Linked DNA regions of Diceros bicornis minor. The main gene of each other region encodes a partner of the protein of the gene in region 2 in a complex. Links are inferred from orthologs where the notes say so. Each region holds a gene or a part of one and is shown on either strand. Other genes may lie near its edges. The genes, in order: NUDC and DNAJB1.

What was found.
Region 1: the proteins of DNAJB1 (region 2) and NUDC are in contact, whole or in part, in a crystal structure (PDB 7NDX), measured with the Homo sapiens proteins. The link is inferred for Diceros bicornis minor from reciprocal best matches to the Homo sapiens genes DNAJB1 and NUDC. Residues at the interface, in NP_006136.1 of Homo sapiens: His166, Lys181, Lys182, Met183, Lys184, Ile185, Ser186, Asp201, Lys202, Ile203, Ile235, Phe237; in NP_006591.1 of Homo sapiens: Pro102, Gln103, Ile104, Lys105, Glu106, Leu107, Ala112, Leu115, Gln116, Ile119.

The regions. Positions count from the first base shown.
Region 1 is NC_080752.1:42,672,794-42,682,013, reverse strand, and holds the start of NUDC (nuclear migration protein nudC), read right to left. Parts: upstream 3,848-9,220; 5' UTR 3,754-3,847; coding exon 3,673-3,753; intron 1,504-3,672; coding exon 1,426-1,503; intron 1-1,425. UniProt on the Homo sapiens protein: Plays a role in neurogenesis and neuronal migration. Necessary for correct formation of mitotic spindles and chromosome separation during mitosis. Necessary for cytokinesis and cell proliferation.
Region 2 is NC_080769.1:3,376,471-3,385,497, reverse strand, and holds DNAJB1 (dnaJ homolog subfamily B member 1), read right to left. Parts: upstream 4,223-9,027; 5' UTR 4,180-4,222; coding exon 3,969-4,179; intron 3,319-3,968; coding exon 2,738-3,318; intron 2,406-2,737; coding exon 2,175-2,405; 3' UTR 1,041-2,174; downstream 1-1,040. UniProt on the Homo sapiens protein: Interacts with HSP70 and can stimulate its ATPase activity. Stimulates the association between HSC70 and HIP. Negatively regulates heat shock-induced HSF1 transcriptional activity during the attenuation and recovery phase period of the heat shock response.

The DNA.
Region 1 (9,220 bases), on a different chromosome or scaffold from region 2:
CAAGGTCTAAGAGGGGACCAGCTGACATCCAATATATGGCAGCAACTATCATCCTCATGATACTTCTGAGAGAACACTTCTTAATACTATCCATATCTCTCTTCTTCCAGCTACCTTACTCATCTTTCATACCTTCCTCAGGAAGTCTTCCTTCAGCCCCCAACCTGGGTTAATCCCATCATTTTATGCTCCCAGGGCTTCTGCCCTAACATCCACCAGTTCCTCATTATCTTTTTTTTTTTTTGGGGGGGGGGGCTACCCTGTGAGATCCATGAAAACAAAGCACATGTCTGTATTCACCTCTGCAATCTGGAAGGGTTTGGCATAGTACCTAACACAGGCAAAGTGTTAGGTGTTCAATAAATATTCATTAAATGAATGAATGATGACTGCTGATATTATAAGGCAGTCAGGCCCCCAGAAAAACAGGAGGTGCTAATGCTAATAGAGAAAGAATATTTGAGCCAGAAGGGGTCCTACAAGTCAGTGAGCCACCTTCTTCCATTTTACAGATGTGAAGATTGAAAGGACCAAAGAATTGGTAGGAAATCAAGGTGGCCATACAGTTAGACCAAGAACCTGAGACTCCTACTCCCAGGCCAACATGTCTATGACAGAGTAGCCTCAGATTATCAAGGAACATTACAAAGCATACCAGCTTGTTAGAATCCCAAAACCACAGAAAGCAGTTTGCAAAACGTCTCCTCCTTGTTACTATTTCTCTATGTTTACTACGTTTCCTTATTACTATGTTTAAGTGAAAACAAATATCAAGGTTATAAAAATCATAGTTCAATGAGGTGACATCTTCATGATTTACCAATCTTCAAAAATGTAATTACAACCTCAGTACACAGCAGGAAGTTCAAGGTCTCAGAACCTGCACCACAAAACACCATTCCCAAATCCTTGAACTTCGGGTCACAGCATCTGGGAAGACTGGGATTGTTGTCTTTGAGTTTTCCTATACTTGTCTTCTGAGCTCAATTTCTAACATTTACCTACTCTCATCTCCCAGCTAAGTAATTAGATAAAACCTCCTCAGTGGAAAAGGAACCAAGAAGCATGGTGTCAGGGGCAGAAGGCAGTTTTACAACAGACTCTGGTTCCAACCCTGGCTCTCTCACAACTCAGCTCAAGACTTTGGACAAAGTGCCAAACACCCCCAAGCCAATTTCCTCATTTGTAAAATGGGGATAGTAACACCTGCCCCTCTTGAACCACTGAAGGGTCATGGGAGACATGATAGATAAAGACCTGGCAAGAAGAGGGGCTTCAATAAATGACAGCTTGTTTCCCCTCCCCAACTTCTCACCCTGAGCATTTCACTTCTGCTGAAGATTATTACTATTATGCCAAAGGAAGGCCAGGTGAGCTTTTCTTCTAAGAAGAGCTGCCCAAGCGACAGTGGCTCCCAACACTCACCTTTTCTGCTATCCCCTCTTCTCCTCCAACGAAAAAGTCTGTTTTGCGCCGAAGAAAGCTGAAGAAAGTGTTCACAAGCTGCAAGAAGACAAAGAACGACACTGTGGAGATGCCATATCGGGAGCCCCTCAAGTGCACAGAAGCCAACTTCCTTACCCTAGGAGGAAACTCAGGACTTGACTGTTTCACACCTGAGCCTCCCAACTAAGGAAACATCCTCCTCAACAGGCCCTACTTTTGTCACTTCTGCCAGGAAGTCTAACCTGACCTTATCTAGATCACATGAAGGGCAGATTTCTCATTTCTTGTTTGTATGTTTGTGTTTCATATTCCTTGTGGCGCTAGAAGCAGCCTGAAGGTATGGACCACTCCTCTGCATCCAGGGCTTGAAACACCAGGGCCCACCTTTCCTCTCCAGATGGTAAACAGCCTATCCAGAGGGGCAGTGGCCGAGTTAGTGGGACAGAGGTAGGAGGAAGGGAACAAACGAAGCCACTTCAAAGATTAAGACCAACTAACTCTGGCTGGGTACCAGTCTAGCCAAGTGGTTAAGGGCATGTGTTTTGAATATCAGACTGACATACATCAGCTCTGTGACCCTGAAGAAGTTTCTTAATTCTGCAAAACAGGACAGCAGCAGGACCTACTTCTACAGATCTTGTGAGGATCAAACGAGGTAATGGAGGTGAGATCCTTAACAGTCTCTGGCCCAGAGCAAGAGACCCCCTACCAAAGAGTTAACTCCTCACAAGTAGGCTTATTCTGTCTACATCCCCAATGCCTGGCACCAGATCTGTCTCAGAGTACATGCTCAGCAGAATTTCTGCTGAATGACGAGATCTAGTGGTGACCTAGGGCTAGCACATATAAGCCTTTTTATTTGCCCAAGTGAGTGGTTCTAAATCCGATGCTAGAACTTATCTCAATGGTTTCAATTCCTGCTTCTAGGCACTTTTTCAATTCACTCAAAAATGAACTCACTCTCAAATCCAGTTTTGTGTCAACAATTTAGGGGGTGGGGGAGGGAGCCTTTCACACTTGCAAATTAGTAACACTCTTCCCACCCCAAAGGGCTTAGGAGTCCTTGGTCACCACAAGCACCTGAGTGAATGAGAAGGAAAAGCTCAATAAAAACTTGTCCCCAGCGAGACACAGAATGGGCAATGGACTGTGGAAAGCACGCTGGCCTAAGGAGTCTGGTCCCCTCTAGATCAAGAGCCTTCTGGATGATCTTGGGCAAGTTCCTTCAATTTCTTTATAGAATGACACTTCTAGACTTATCTTGATAGGCTTTTCTATGTGTAACCTTCTGTTTCTGATCCAAAAACCCAACTCCAGAATCTATGCTGGTTGGTCCTTATCGTTCATACACTATGTGTGTCTGGTCACTATGCATGAATTATGCTTTTGAAAAGCTCTTTCTAAGCTCCATCAGGGCAAGGACAGGTTTCTGCTCATGTCTGTATCCTCACATATCCCCAGACACCCAGTCCAGTGAGTGTCTGGTACACATCAATCACTCAACAAACACTTGAATGAACACGCCTGACTGCCGGGAATTCCTCAGTGTTCTCCACTTCAAGACACTACTACTACTGTCCTACAAATATTCAGGAAATAGGGCTTTGTAGCTCTATCTCAAAGAAACTGAGGCTTGGAGATGTGGAAAGGTCCCAAGTTGGGAGGTGGTGGAAACCAATTGTGAACACAGGCCTCCTACTGCCCCATTCAAGGCCTAAAAAGACCATGTGCTACTATCACCCCGCCCGCCCCCCCCCCCCACGGCACACATTCTTTGCACCCATTCTTCGGTTCGCTCCAAGTCGTGGTAGATGCAGATCTCAACGTCTGGGATGGTTCGTCCTAAGGGATGCTCTTCGGGGCGGCCATCAGAGGGGCAATGGAGCCGGAAGGGCGGGAACGGGGTGGGTTGCAGGAGTGTGAATCCAAAGACTCTGAGGGTTTTCCAGGGACGGGTTCAGGGACGCCGGAGTTGCTAAGATAGGAACTACTACTGAGGAGCGCCGGAGGCCCAAGACTGATACGAAGGGGGCAAGTCGCGCAGCGCGGAGGCCAGACCGGAAGCTGGGATGCGGTGAGAATGTGGCGGGATCCCAGAAGCCCGTGAGGCCCAGGGGTGGGACTCAGCCCTCGAAGGCAGATTAGGGCGGAGGGAGCGTGGCTCGGGCCGCCCGAGTGGGCAGGCGCCGCTGGACCAGGCCGGGCCGACGCCGCGCGGGCCGTTACCTCCTGCACGCCGCCCTCGTGCTGCTGCGCCATGGCCAGCAACATGCCGTCGAATCGCTCCTCCTCCTGCTCTCCGCCCATCGCGCCGGCCACCAGGCACGCTCACAGATCCGAGCTCTTCACTCGCGTCCCGCGCTCTCCCTGCTCCTCCGCGTCGCGTCGGGCCCAACGGCTCCGATCCTGCGCCTTCCGCAGCGGAGCCGGAAACACGCAGGCTCCCCGCCGCCCAGCTCCGCCTTCTCGCCTTCTCTTCCCGCCTCCCTCCGGGCCCGTGGCCATTGACCGCGCGGCAAACAGCCCGCTCCACCGGCCATTGGTCAACTTGGTGAGCCAATCAACGAGCGCGTCCGTGAAGCGGTGGGAGGAGCCGAGGGCCCAGGAGTTTGGCGTGAGTTGCTATGGTCACTGGATGCTTTAGAGCCTTCCAGAAAGCTCTGGGCTCAAAGCTAGCGGGGTTGGAAGTTGCAAAGGTATGAACTTTGCTCCTACTCCTTGAGAGTAACCTCCCAGCTTGTAGAAGGGTGAAGCTGAAAGTGTCCTTAGTCATCTCTTCCAATCCTTTATATGAAGCAATTGAGGCCCAGAGAGGAGGAGGGACTTGCCCAAAGGACAGCCTACCAACCGCCTCATCACCTACTCGACCAAGGCGGGCTTCATGGGCATACAAACTGTGTGGTCCTGAGGGCTGGGGTTAGAAGGGCTGGGTGCTTGGTTTAATACTCTTCTGCTGCAGTCTTAAAATTCTTAATAATTTTTGAACCAGAGACCCCCACATTTTCATTTTGCATTGGGCCCTGTAAAGTATGTAATGAGTGGGATATTCGACCTTCACTCGTGTTAACGTGGGGGGCACAGATCCCAGCTATCTGAAGCCAGCCCCTCCCCTCTTGCAGTGAATTTCAACATCTTTGCCTTTTCAAGCATTCTGTCCTTGCAATTATCCTTTTTTTAATCTCCTGAATCACAAATTTCTTTCTTCTGGATCATTCTCTTCAATTTACAAACTTGCTTTAATTTCACTTATTTTTTTACTATTTTGTGACTCTACATTCTCCACCTACCACCCCAATTTCCTTTTTTTTTTTTCTTCCTCAAAGTCCCAGTAGATAGTTGTATGTCATAGTTGCACATCCTTGTAGTTGCTGTATGTGGGACACAGCCTCACCATGGCTGGAGAAGAGGTGTGTCGGTGCATGCCTGGGATCCGAACCCGGGCCACCAGTAGTGGAGCGAGTGAACTTAACTGCTAAGCTTCGGGGCCGGCCCCCGCCCCAATTTTCAATTCTCATTCTCAGCAAACCTTGAAAAGATTTCTATACTTGTTTCTCCACTTCCTCACTTTCCATCTCTCCTCAATTTAATCAGCCTTTTCTTAAAAGACTCTGACCAAGGTTACAATGACCTACATGTTGCCAACACCAGTGGACCACTATTGTCTCGCTGGACTTCTCAGCTGCATTTGACACAGTTGACCCCTTCTTCCTTCTATAAACAATTTTTTTCCTTAGGCTTCTCTTATGGATGGAATTGTGTTCCCCCCATATTCATAAATTAAAGCCCTAACCCCCAATGTAGCTGTTTTGGGAGATAGGGCCATTTAAAGAGGTAATTAAGGTTAAATGAATTCATAAGGGCGGGGTCCTAATCCAATATGACTAGTGTCCTTACAAGAAGAGGAAGAGACACCAGGAACTTGTGAGCACACAGAGGAAAAGCCGTGTGAGACAGCTATCTGCAAGCCAAAGAGAGAGGCCTCAGGAGAAAGCAAACCTGCCAACACCTTGATCTTGGACTTCCAGCCTCCAGAATTGTGAGAAAATAAATTTCTGCTGTTGAAGTCACTCAGTCTGTGGTATTTTGTTATGGCAGCCCTAGCAAACTAATAGAGCTTCTGTGTCACCACACTTACCTGGTTTTCTTCCTGCCTCACTAACACTCTTTCTCACATCCTGTCCTACCCACACTTGCAAATGTTGGGGGCTCCATCCTTTGCCCTCTGCTCTTTTCCTTTCTCTCTGCACTTTCTCTGTAGGTGATCTCATGACATCTCTGGCCCAGACCTTTCCTGAGCTCCAGCTTCATGTATCTACCTACCTCCTGGACAGACATCTCAAAATTCACATGGCTTTGGGAAGATGTAAAAGTTCTGATGATGGATGGTGGTGACGGCTGCACAACAATGTGAGTGTATTTAATGCCACTGAACTATACACTTAAAAATGGTTACATGGTAAGTTTAATGTTATGTATATTTTACCACAATAAAAAAATTTGTAACTTTATGAGACACTTTGAACTCTGACTAGATATTTGATTATATTCAAGAATTATTGGGCCGGCTCTGTGGCTTAGCGGTTAAGTGCGCGCGCTCTGATGCTGGTGGCCCGGGTTCGGATCCCGGGCACGCCCCAAGGCACCACTTCTCCGTCCAACCCGAGGCCGAGTCCCACGTACAGCAACTAGAAGGATTGCTCCTTCTATGACATACAACTATCTACTGGGGCTTTGGGGGGAAAAGATGAATAAATAAAATCTTTAAAAAAAAAAAAAGAATTATTATTTTAAAAAAACTAACATGGCCAACACTGATACTCCCACACACACACATTAAGTCCTTCTGAAGTCTTCTCCATAGAGTTAAATGGCCCCTTCAAGCAATGATTGCCAAAGCCCAAACCTCCACTCATCTACCCATTTGCACAAGCCAAAATCTAGCCTTATCTTATCCATTAGTAAGTCCTGTCAGCTCTCCCTCCAAAATATATCCTGATTCTCTCCACTTCTCACCTAGCCATGCGAAGCAAGGTGCTGTTACTACTCCAGTATAAACCAGCATCATCTCTTGCTCGAACTACTCCTATAGCTTCCTAGCTGGTCTCCTTACTCCGTTCTTGTCCCTTTGTAGTCCATCCTCCACCCAGCAGCCAGAGCAATCCTTCTAAAGGATAAGCCAGATCTTGTTACTCCCTTGCTTAAAATTAGCCCTTCACGGATTGCCATTGCATTCAGGATAAATTCCAAACTCCCAACCATGGCCTCTGAGGAGCAACACTGTCAAGGCCCTGCCTACTTCTCCAGCCTCATCTTGTCCCACACTTGCCTTCACTCACCAGGCTCCCTCCCAACTGGCGGCTTTCACTTCCCAGAATGCGCTGTCCTAGTTCCTAGGCCTTTGCCAGCCAACTTGTTTTCATCCATCAGGTCTCAACCCAAATGCCCTTCCTCTGTGAGGCCTTTACTGACCCTGATATACAGAGCAATTCTCCATCTCCATGTGTTTACTTTCAAAGTGCCTTGTGCTCATCCTCTGTAATTACTTACTACAATTGAAATATATGATTAAGAAATTTTGGTTCTACATCCATCTCCTCTCACTGGAATATAAACATAATCAAAGATAGAGCTTGTCTGATTCATCCAAACATTCAGCTCAGAGTCTCAAATGTTGTAGACCCTCAGTAAATATCTGGAGAATGGACAAATGGTCTTTGCTTGATACTATTGCATCTCATTACATAACTTATCAATAAATATTGGTAAAATTTATTGACTTATTAAGTACCCAGTAGTGTACTGAACATTTTACAAACATTACTTGACTTAACACAATGCTCCTATGTTACTGTCCCCATCTGAGAGATGAAAAAACAGGGACAGACAAGTGAAGTCTTGTGCCCAAGGTCACAGAGCTGAAAAGGTAGGACCAGGATTCAAACCCATGCAGCCTGTCTCCAGAGTGCACACACTAACCTACTTCACCTTAGAGTTCTGTCTCCCTGAATTGGCATTCTGATTTTATACATCAGCCCCAGACGGTTATTTGATGTGACTCTTCCCTGAGAAACCAAGGCCTGATCTTGGACCCTGGTGAATTTACTAAGATAATGAATGTCCCCCTCTTGGTGACCAATCAGTCTCCCCTAGTGACCTCTGACCCCATCTACATTTGAACACCACTAATGGCAGGCAAGTGGCTGATTACACCAACCGTGCTAAGTGCTCTCTGAAGGGTGTGGACTAGATGACAGGGAACTCAGGGAGGGAGCAATTTATTCTTCCGAACAGGTGGAGAGGGCAAGACAGGAAACCTGCACTAGAGCAGTAATGTTTGAGCTAGACCATTAAGGGTGACCAGGAGCTTACCAAGCAGACAGGGTAAGGGAAAGGCATCCCAGGTGGGGGAACAGCATGGGCAAAAGCTGGGAGGCACAAAGGTGCATGACATGTTCAGGAAACGAAAAGGTGCCCAGTGCTGGCTCTCTGACTCCCAGTTCCAATGCTTAACCCATGCCCCCTGCAGCCCAGGATCTCCCAGCTGCCCCTTCAATTAGTCTGAGGACTCGGTGCACAACAAAAACAAACGTGCATCCTGGGCATAGGATTGCAGAGCATTTTCACATACATTATCTTATGGAGTGTCCTTTAATTTTACAGATAATGCAGTGCTTGACACACAGTAGGTGCTCAATAAATGTCACTTGTTATCATTCTTAGGATGTTGATGATTATTGTTCCTGCTTGGACAGTAACACCCCCATCCTATTGTTGCATGAAGATTAACTGAAATAATTGTTGTGAAAGTACTTGGTAAACCGTAGAGTGCTGTACAGATGGGAAAGCATTGTCATGAACTTTTCCTCCAGAAAGTCTTCCAAATTCCAGCTCCTTAGCCCCCCGTACCATTTGAGCATTCCCGCCCACCACTGATGTGGCGTCCTGGCTCCCTTGTTAGAGCTACTGAGAACGGGGCTGTCTCTCCCTCCTCAGAATGGGGCCTCCTCGGGGCTGGCCTGTGTCACCCCAATTAGATTTGGGGTTCCCAAGGGCAGAGCTGTGTCTCCCCCTTTAGACTGGGGTCTCCTGAGGGTTGACCTATGTCTCCTCCTTTAGACTGAGGGCAGGGCCTAGGCAGAGGGCAGCTGATGGACCATTTTCTCCCACAGAGGCCTCCTACTTCTCTGAGTGAGTGGCCCCAGTCAGGCTCTGGGCTATAGAGATCCCAGCTGAGGCCTTTCCTCACCCTCCAGGGCCTCCAGGACTAGCACCCTGGTCTTCAGGCCATACACAGGAATCAGAAAACACAGTTCCCCACAGTGCAAAAAACGCAAGACTTAAAACCTGGAGACCTAGCTTCCAGCCCAGCCTTACCGTGACCCCCACAGAGGGGTCTCCTCCCTTCTCTGGGTCTCCTCCTCTGTAACCTCATCCTCTAGGAAATGAGGGTAAAAAAGCAACAACAATAATAGGGACAATTTCCCTCCTTTATGGAGCACTTGCTGTGTGCCAGGCACGTGTGTCCTCACAAACACCTCACTTGAGTCTCACTAGCACCCAGGAAAGGCACTATTAGAGGCAGATTTTCTGTGAGGCTAATGAGGCTTGAATTCCAGGGCCTGCACGGGCCCATCCAAGGCACTGGGAGAGACCCCAGCAACGTCTTCTTAGGGTCAAATACATATATATTTTTTCTTTTTAATTTGCAAAGATAAAATTTTAAAACTACAATTGTTTAAAAACCACTGTTTCTTCCCACTCTATCCCACTTCCC
Region 2 (9,027 bases):
TAGCTGCTGAGCACTTGACACAGGGCGCAATAACCAAACAACTGATTTTTTTGTGTGTGTGTGAAGATGATCAGCCCTGAGCTAACATCCATGCTAATCCTCGTCTTTTTTTTGCTGAGGAAGACTGGCTCTGAGGTAACATCTATTGCCAATCTTCCTCTTTTTTTCCCCAAAGCCCCAGCAGCTAGCTATATGTCATAGTTGCACATCCTTCTAGTTGCTGTATGTGGGACGCGGCCTCAGCATGGCCGGAAAAGTGGTGCATCAGTGCGCGCCCAGGCTGAACCCGGGCCGCCAGTAGTGGAGTGTGCACTTAACCGCTAAGCCACAGAGCTGGCCTGCCACTGAATTTTTAATTTTATTGAATCTGAAAAAATTTCCATTCAAAAAAAACACTCCCATTACTACAAAAAACTCCCTTGGACAGCGATGCCCCTAGCCTATTTTCAGTGGTTAAATGGTTTCAGTGGGAAGGGAAAGCCAGTGGTAGGTTGACTTTAAATATGGTGTTACTCAAGTTTTTAGTTTAAGATTTTTTGTAGCAAAATAGCAATACATTGTTTTCAAACTGTGTAATTACTTACCTTATAATAACAACAGTTCCTGAAAAAAAGTTACAAAGTAAGAGCGGTTCCGTGGCCTGTAAGTAAATCCAGCGCAGGAAATGGGCCTTCTCCAGCGCACAACCGACCCTGGGATGGAATCCCAGTTGGGTGTGGCCAGGGCCTGCCCAACACCCAGCCTGTTCCAGCAGGAAACAGTGGAGCCAGATTATGAGGGCAGACCAGACCCTGAGAGACTGGAAGAGTCAAACTCCGGCTTCAACCTTCACGAAAAACAGGCTCTGAATCCACTGGCCTCTTCAGAGGCCTGGATCCAGAGACAGGGTCAACCGACCTTCTCCACCCCACACACAGCTCAGGAAGGGAGACTGCTGCTTCCAGCCCGCCCCCCCACCCCCACGATGCCTTTGGAGGGAGGCCTGCCCCTGCCCCCCCCCCCCAGCAGAGCCCTCAAACAGAGTCACAGGACCACTCCCCCAGGTTTAGCATCAGTCTTTAATGCTGTGGCGCTGCACATCGACAAGTCACACACTTTGGTCTCACGTTGGCAGTGGCAACTGACAATGAATCTAAAGGTCTGAGCACCAGACTGGCCTGCAAGGAACAGACACTTGTCCCGACTCCCCACTCCCAAGGTGCCTTCTCAACTCCACCATGGCCCCATACAGGCAGCAGCTGCCGACGACTTGGTCTTTCTGGAATGCACACTGTCTTTACACAGAACTATAAAAACATATTTACAGGCGTTCCACAGTGCTCCTGTAATCAGAAGCAAAGACCCTTTTATCAAAAAGGATTATATCTAGGGCTGTGCAAAATTCAAAAGGATTAGATCCCTTTGAATGAGTCCAAAGTCTATTACAAAAAAAATTACCAGGGTCTCTGGTAAGCCACAGGTATGCCAAAGGATTGCCTTACACAGCAGAATACCTGGTGAGTGCGCACACTCAGCCTTGGGACCAGGGATCGAGAGCACCCCCGACCTTCAGCGGAGAGGTGGCTGCGCCAGTCACTGGCTTGCTCCAGGCCGGCTCCCCTGGTCCTGCTGGAGTGAGAGGTATTACTTGTGGGCGCCAGCCAGGCAGTTCTGCAAACACAGTCTAGGTTCTCAATTTGAGATGACAAAACAGAAAACTGGATTCTTTAGAAGAAGAGCAGGACATGGAAGACAAATACACAACAGACACAAACCCATCACACAGCAGAAACTGAGGACTGTACCAGCTCTGCTGAGGAGGACAACAGGTCGACACCACCTCAGCTGCAAGCCAAAGGCCCACAGAGGGATGAGTCCAGCCGTGGGTCTGGCTCTGGCCCTGCAACAGGGCCTGGAGGAGGGCAGGGGCCCCTCCCTGGAGGGCTGCAGGACCCGGGTGCAGACTGCAACGCCTTTTCCTGTCGTGCCCACCACCTCCTGCCCTATCACTGCAAAAACCACTTCAGTCTAGTGCTCGACTTTCAAAGATTGTAATATATTCTCTGAAACACATTCAGCAGTACGGAGCCCTCCCTGGGCCCTCCCGCCCTCTCAAGGGGCCACAAGTGGTGGAACGGTCCGGAAAGCCTTCAGCTCTGGAAAGGTCCCTGATCAGTCCTCGGAGACACGGTCAGCTATATCGGAAGAACCTGCTCCAGTACGGTTCTTGACGTCTGGGGGATCCTGTCCGGGAAGAGCACTTCAAACTCAATGACGAGATCCCCGCGCTTCTCGGGTGTCTTGGGGAGAGGGAGGCCTTCTCCAGGAACTTTCCGCCGCATGCCAGGCCTGATGACGTCTTTGAACACGACAGGTATGGTTCTGCCGTCCAGAGTGGGGACGTTCACGGTACAGCCACACAGAGCCTCGAGAAGCAAAGGCACAGGATTAGATGGAGTACGCTCCTGCCTTCTCGGCTTTCTGGGCCGTTCCACCACTTCTGGCCCCGTGAGAAGATAAGAGGAAGAGAAACTCTTCAGCTAAATAAAGAGCCACCAGGCCTCTGCAACTAAGACCCTGCCGCCACATCTCCCCAGGTCACCAGCACGGACGCCCCAGAAAGCCGAGCCCTGTCTGTCCGTTCCTGGTGCCTCCCCAGCCTGTCCCACACCAAGTGCTCAGAAACGCCTGGCAACCCAATACTGCACGGTTTCACCGGCAGCCCCTCCCTCCACCGACCCGCCACCCAGAGCCCTACCTCCCGGAGGCTGATCCGGGCCGGGTAGATGACGTCGGAGCCGTCCCTCTTGAAGACGTTGTGCGGCTTGTCCCTTAGAACAAAGACGATGTCGGCCGGAATGTTGGTGGAGGTCTGGTCGCCTTCCTTGGGGAAGGTGATCTTGGTCCCTTCCTTCCACCCGCGCTTCACTTCGATGGTCAGGATTTTGTCTTCGTTGCGAACGCTCTTTCCATCGGGGTTCAGCCGCTTGTGGGAGATTTTCATCTTCTTGGTACAGCCGCTATAGATCTCTTCGAGTGACACCCTCAGGTCGTGGGTGACGGGGGGATCTTGCTTCTTTCGGCTGGGCTCCTGGGCAGGGCGGGAGCGGCCCAAGTTCACGTTGGTGAAGGCGCCCATGCCCATGGGGAAGCCGGAGAAAGGATCGTCGATATCCATGCCTTCCTCCCCGTTGCGCTGCCCGAAAAAGGTGTCAAACGGATTCCGACCACCGAAGAACTGGGCGAACATGGCATGAGGATCTCCATGGAACGTGTAGCTGAAAGAGGTGCCGTCAGCACCCCCGCTGCTGCCGCCGCTGGGGCCGCCGCCCTTGAGGCCTGAAAAGCAAAACGGGAAGCGGTCAGACGGCCGGCACGGAGCTGCCCCCTCCCGGAGCGCCCCGGAGAGAGCTCGTGAGCCGCGGGGGTTCTCTCAGCTCGGGAGGGCCGACCAGACCGACGCCGCAAGGCCCCGCCCGCCCTGCAGCAGCGCCGCCCGCCCGCCCCGCCCCGCCCGGCTCAAGGTCCGAGACGGCCACCTCCGGGCTCCCGGCCCGCCCGCTGCCCGCCCGCGCGCCCCCGCGACAACACGGCATCTCACGGACGGGCCGCCGCGCCGCGCACGCAGAGGCGGCGGGAGCTCTGGAGGGGCCGCGCCGGGCGGCGCAGCACGGCGCCCCGGCCCTCCGTCCCCGCGGCCGGCCCGCAGGCCAGCCTGAGCCGCCCAGGACGGGCGGACCACCTGCGGGCGTCCCTGCTCCCGGAGACGCCCCCCGCCCAGGGAGCCGGGCCGGCCGCCGAGGGGCGGGCGGAGGCGCGGGGAGAGTGGCCCGGCCGTGCTGCAAGCTTCTGGGCGAGCCGCGCGGCCAAGCTCCTCCCGCCCGCGCCCACCCCGGGGCGGAGGCGCGCGGCGCAGGGCGGAGGGCAGGGACCGGGGGTCGGGGACGCGCCCCCGCCCCGCGCCCGGCAAACGGCGGCCCGGCACGCACCTTCCTCGCCCAGGCGGTCGAAGATGTCGCGCTTGCGCGGGTCGCTGAGCACGTCGTAGGCCTCGGCGATCTCCTTGAACTTCTCCTCGGCGCCCGGCTCCTTGTTCTTGTCGGGGTGGTAGCGCAGCGCCTGGCGCCGGTAGGCGCGCTTGATCTCCTCGTCCGACGCGCCGCGGGCCAGGCCCAGCGTCTGGTAGTAGTCCTTGCCCATGACCCGCGGCCGCCACCCGCCCGGCTCCGCCGCCCCCGCCGCCTGGCCCGCACTCTATATACGCGTCCGGCGGAAGCTTCCAGAGCCCGCCAGCCCCCTCCAGAACCTTCTGCCCCGCCCCCGCGCCGCGCCCACCAATCGCCGCCGCCCTGGCCGCGACGCGCGACATCCGGGGCGGGGCCGCGCCGCCAACGGCCGCCCGCGCGCGGCCACGCCCCTCCCCTCGCCGGCAACGCCTCCCCGCGGCGCGCGCACCCGGCGGCGGAGGCCCCGCCCACCCTTTGCGGGGAGCCAATGGCGGCCTTGTTTCCCGCCCGTTTCCCGCCCCCTGCCCGGGTCGGTGGGTTACGGCGCGCGGCTCCGGGAAGGGGCGGGGCGGGGTCGGCCACGCCCCTTCCCCGGGAGACCTTAGGCCCGCCGCGCCCGGCCCTCCCGGTGACTGCGGGGGTGCCTCACCTCGCCCTGCCCCGGGTTCCGCTTCCGGGAACAGGCGCGCCCACCCGCCCGCTCCTCGCGGCGGCGGGGAGAACGCACCCGGGGCCGGGACTGTCCCTGTGCTGCCCCCGCAGGCCCCCGCAGGGCGGCTGCCTCCCCGACCGTCCCCCGCGCCCTTCCTTTTATCGCGCCTCGAGACCGGCTGCCGCTGGAAGCGCGATTGTCGTGTTCCTCGGTGTTCCCGCCGGGTGTCGCCTCCCCCCAGCCCGCGTCCCGGCGGCGCTCCGCCCCGTGCCTGCAGCGGCGCCCGTCCCGGGACGCGCCAGGGGTTCGGCCGTTCCTAGCGCGCTCGCCGCTCTTCTCTCCCCGCCACCTTGATGATTTGGGGGACGTGGGGCGCCACACGCCCCTCGGGGCCTCTCTCGCCTCGCCTGTGGGCCACGGGAGAGCCCAGGACAGGGCCGAGGGCGGCGAGCGGGCCCGGAGGAAGGGGCGGGGGCCGGGCCCGGGCCCGGGGGCGGCTCCCGGAAGACCCGCGCGGGAGGTCAGGGCCGGGGACGCTGGCTCCGGAGCCCACAGCGCCTTCCCTCCCGGTTCCCGCGCTTGCTGGCCGCGTCGCCTCGGGCTGTCCCCGGGCCGCGCCGGCCTCAGCTCCCGCCTCTGTGCGGCGAGGGTAGCAGCTGTAACCGCTCGCAGGGCTGGGAGGCCGACCTGAGTCAACGTCCCTCCAGTGCCCAGGGCAGGCCTGGCCCAGAGGGAGCGCTGTCACAGGCTGACCAGCCGCCACGAGTGGGGGCCGCTGGGCCACGCCCCCCCCGGGCAGCACCGCAGCGCCAAAGCTTGTGGTGGTCTCTGCCCTCGTGCGGGCCGCGACTCCCGAGAAAGAAGACCGTGGCCTTCGCTGCTGGCCAGCAGGGGATTCCCGCCCTGCCTGGCCACTCACTGACCCCAGGGAAACCCCAGGACTCTGGACTAGGACACACACAGGCCAACCTGGGAGGACGGGTCTGGGCGGGGAGTCCCCGGGCCTGCACAGCGGGGAGAGAATTCGGTTTCTCAACAGGTACATAAACAGCAGGAAAGTCGTCACAGGGAGAAAGCAGAGCTGGTGGGCGTCCTCGCCCTCACGCACTGGTCTGTTGCTATACAGACTTAACGGCGAGTCATGAGTGTGGCGGCCTCGGAGGTCTCCCTCGGCTCTGGGCGTCCTTGTGTTTGTGGGCAACCTTAGGGCCGAGGGGACTCTCCCTTTCCTGAATAAGCCTGGGTCATGTTCAAGAATTTTAAACTGTTTAACCATCCCCTCTTCCCCCCATAAAAAAAAGCAAAACCCAACACCTCTCCTGATGGCTGTGCTTCCTTGACTGGGACGCTCCGTGGGATCTTCAGGTTGTTACTGGAAAAGGGGCTTCTGCAGGAACCTCAGCAGATCTTGAGCCCTCGGCTCAGAGAAGATGTGATGTTTATTTTATGCATCAACCTGGCTGGGCTGTAATACCCAGTTCAATTAAACTCTAATCTAAGTGCTGCTGTGAAGGTATTTGGTAGATGTGGTTAACACTACAGTCAGTTGACTGTAAGTACGGGAGATGACCCTCCATAATGTGGGTGGGTCTCGTCCAATCAGGTGAAAGGCCTTAAAGGCAAATACTGAGGTTTTCCTGAAGAAGAAACCTCAGCTCCTGGCCATGAGTTTCCAGCCTGCCAGTCTGCCCTATAGGTTCCAGACTTGCCTAGCCAGCCCCCACAGTCGTGCAACCTAGCATCTTGAAATACATCTGTTAACACACACACAAATGTCCTACTGGTTCTGTCTTTGGTGGCACCCTCACCGACACAGGAACTAAGCAGGGCAGTCTGGAGTCAGCCGGCCTCAGCTCAAGTCCCAGACCCACTATTGACTTATTTCCTGTCTGTATGATCTTGCACAACTCGCCTGGTCTCTCAGAGCACCAGGTGTGTCCTGCATAAAATGAGGACCAGAGTAAATCCTACCTCCCAGGCTTCCTATGCATATGAAATCGACAGGGCCCAGGAAAGGAACATTATAACAAGAGCTGACACCGACTCGGCCCTACTACCTGCCCAGCCGTTTCAAAGCGCTCCATGCGTATTAACTCATTTCATCCTCACAATAATCCTATGAAGTTGGCCCATTGTTACCTCCACTTTACAGGTGGGGAAACGGAGGCTCTGAGCGGTCACGTGACTTGCCTGAGGTCACCCAGTGAGTGAGATGCTGCAGTGTAAAGTGTTTAGCACACTGAGTGCTTACAGTAAGCACTCAGCTTGTGTAAGACGTGATTCAGATGATAAAACCTTAATTAAAAAAAAATGCAGCACTCTTTTCAACTCCTCTTCATCAAAAAGACCTTCGAAAGCACCGCAGCCAGACGAGCCAGCAATCCCACCACTGGTGGAATACCCACGTGAGATCAAACCTGCGCTCGCATGAAAACCCGAGAGCAAATGTTTACGGAGGCTTTATTTGTAATTACCAACATCCCGGAAAACCTTCAATGGGGGAATGGATGAACAAACTGTGATCCAGCCATATGATGGAATACTATTCAGCCATTAAAAAGGAATGAGCTACTGATACAAGAAACAATGCAGATGGACCTCAAATGCATTATGTTAGTGAGAGAAGCCAGGCGCAAAAGGCTATTTACTGTGTGCTTTCATTTTATAGGACCTTCTGGAAAAGGCAAAAGTATTGACTCAGAAAGTGGATCAGTGGTTGCCAGGGACTGGGAAAAGGATGATGGAAATGTTCTATATCTTGACTGTGGTGGTGGTTACACAACTGCATTCAGAACTGTACACTAAAGAAAGGTGAATTTTACTGTATATAAATTATACCTCAATAAAAACACAAACATCCATGGAATTAAAAAAAAAATAACGAAAGTCGAGAGAGGGTAGGGCTTGGGAAACTTCTCTCTGGGGCCCCTGACACAGCGGAAAGTTGCCAACCAGCCCAGTCTTGTCTGCTCTTGGCTTCACCTTCCCTCACGCAGCTCTGAACCAGCTGGATCACAATCACACGCCCCAAAACAAGCCAAGCCAGGTTCTGGGAAAAACCAAGATCCTGCCTTACTTACATGGGGGAAATACAAACGGAGCTTGTGGGATGGAGAGCAAACACACCAGATCTTTGATGTGCGAGTGACTGCTGGTTCCCCCAGATCCGAGGCCTGAGGAGGCCCCACTCATCCTTCAGCGCTGCCACAGCGCAAGACCTTTCTGGAATTTCCCCTTCAGAAACGGCTTTAAGGGGCTTGTTCCAGTTGGTTCAGCAAACACCAAATGTTATCTGCTCCTCACTCCTCTGACTCAGCCGCTCTGCTGGGGATGCTGAGGACACGGAGCAGGATCTGGCTGTCCCTCCCAACAGGCACCGTCAGAGCAGCTGTACAGTGCCATGAACAGCTTGAATCAAGTGGCCAGTCTTCATTCCAAGGGTGGATTTGATGTTTGCCAATAGCCTGGTTACTGGAAGCCCGATGAGGCCAACAAGGGGTGCTCACGCTTGCAATACTCATCAAAAACAGAGAGGAATTCTCGTCTTGAGGCCAGATCCTGCCTTTCTGTGAGCTCCTCATGGGTGGAAATCATTTGTACGCTCTGGCTGGCACGAAGTGTAGTAGGTTCACAAAATGATCGGGTGCCTGTTGAGTGAGTGTGGGCCTCAGAAAAGCAGTCTCGAAAGGGAAATTCCAGAATGTTCCAGGTCTGTAGGAATGTGCATGGAATCTCTCCCAACATCTATTTGGACACCACACACCTTCCTCAGTTGGAACCCAGTGATACAAAAGACACACCCACTCAGTCCACACTGGAGAAGCTGCAAATGGGCAGAACTGGCACAGTAGAAAAACGTGTCTAGATTTTTGGGGTTTGACCCTGCTCCCTCAGCACCTATGACTAGACACCTCAAGCAACGCAAGTTGGTAGGATTTTAACTTGCAGCCTCTGAGTGAGTACCCGCCTTGTCCCCCTCAATGAGGCGGGGACTGAGGCCTGTGGGGACACAAAGGGACTCAAGATACTGTGAGCCCCAAAACTACCAACAAGAAAAGATCTGTGCCGGGGCCAGCCCGGTGGCGTAGTGGTCAAGTTTGCACACTGCGCTTTGGCGGCCCGGGGTTCATGGATTCAGATCCCAGGTTTGGACTTGCACACCACACATCAAGCCACACCGTGGTGGTGTCCCACATAGAAAACAGGGGAAGACTGGCATGGATGTTGGCTCAGGGCCACTCTTCCTCACTCCCCCTCCAAAAAAAAACCCTGTGCCTTTGAAAGCACAGTTATAAAACGTGTTTATGTTTTCTTCTGTTTTGCCTAGATAGCCCTGGTGAAAAACATAGTGAGTTTCTGAAGACCACAGCCTTGGCTTCCTTTGCTTGG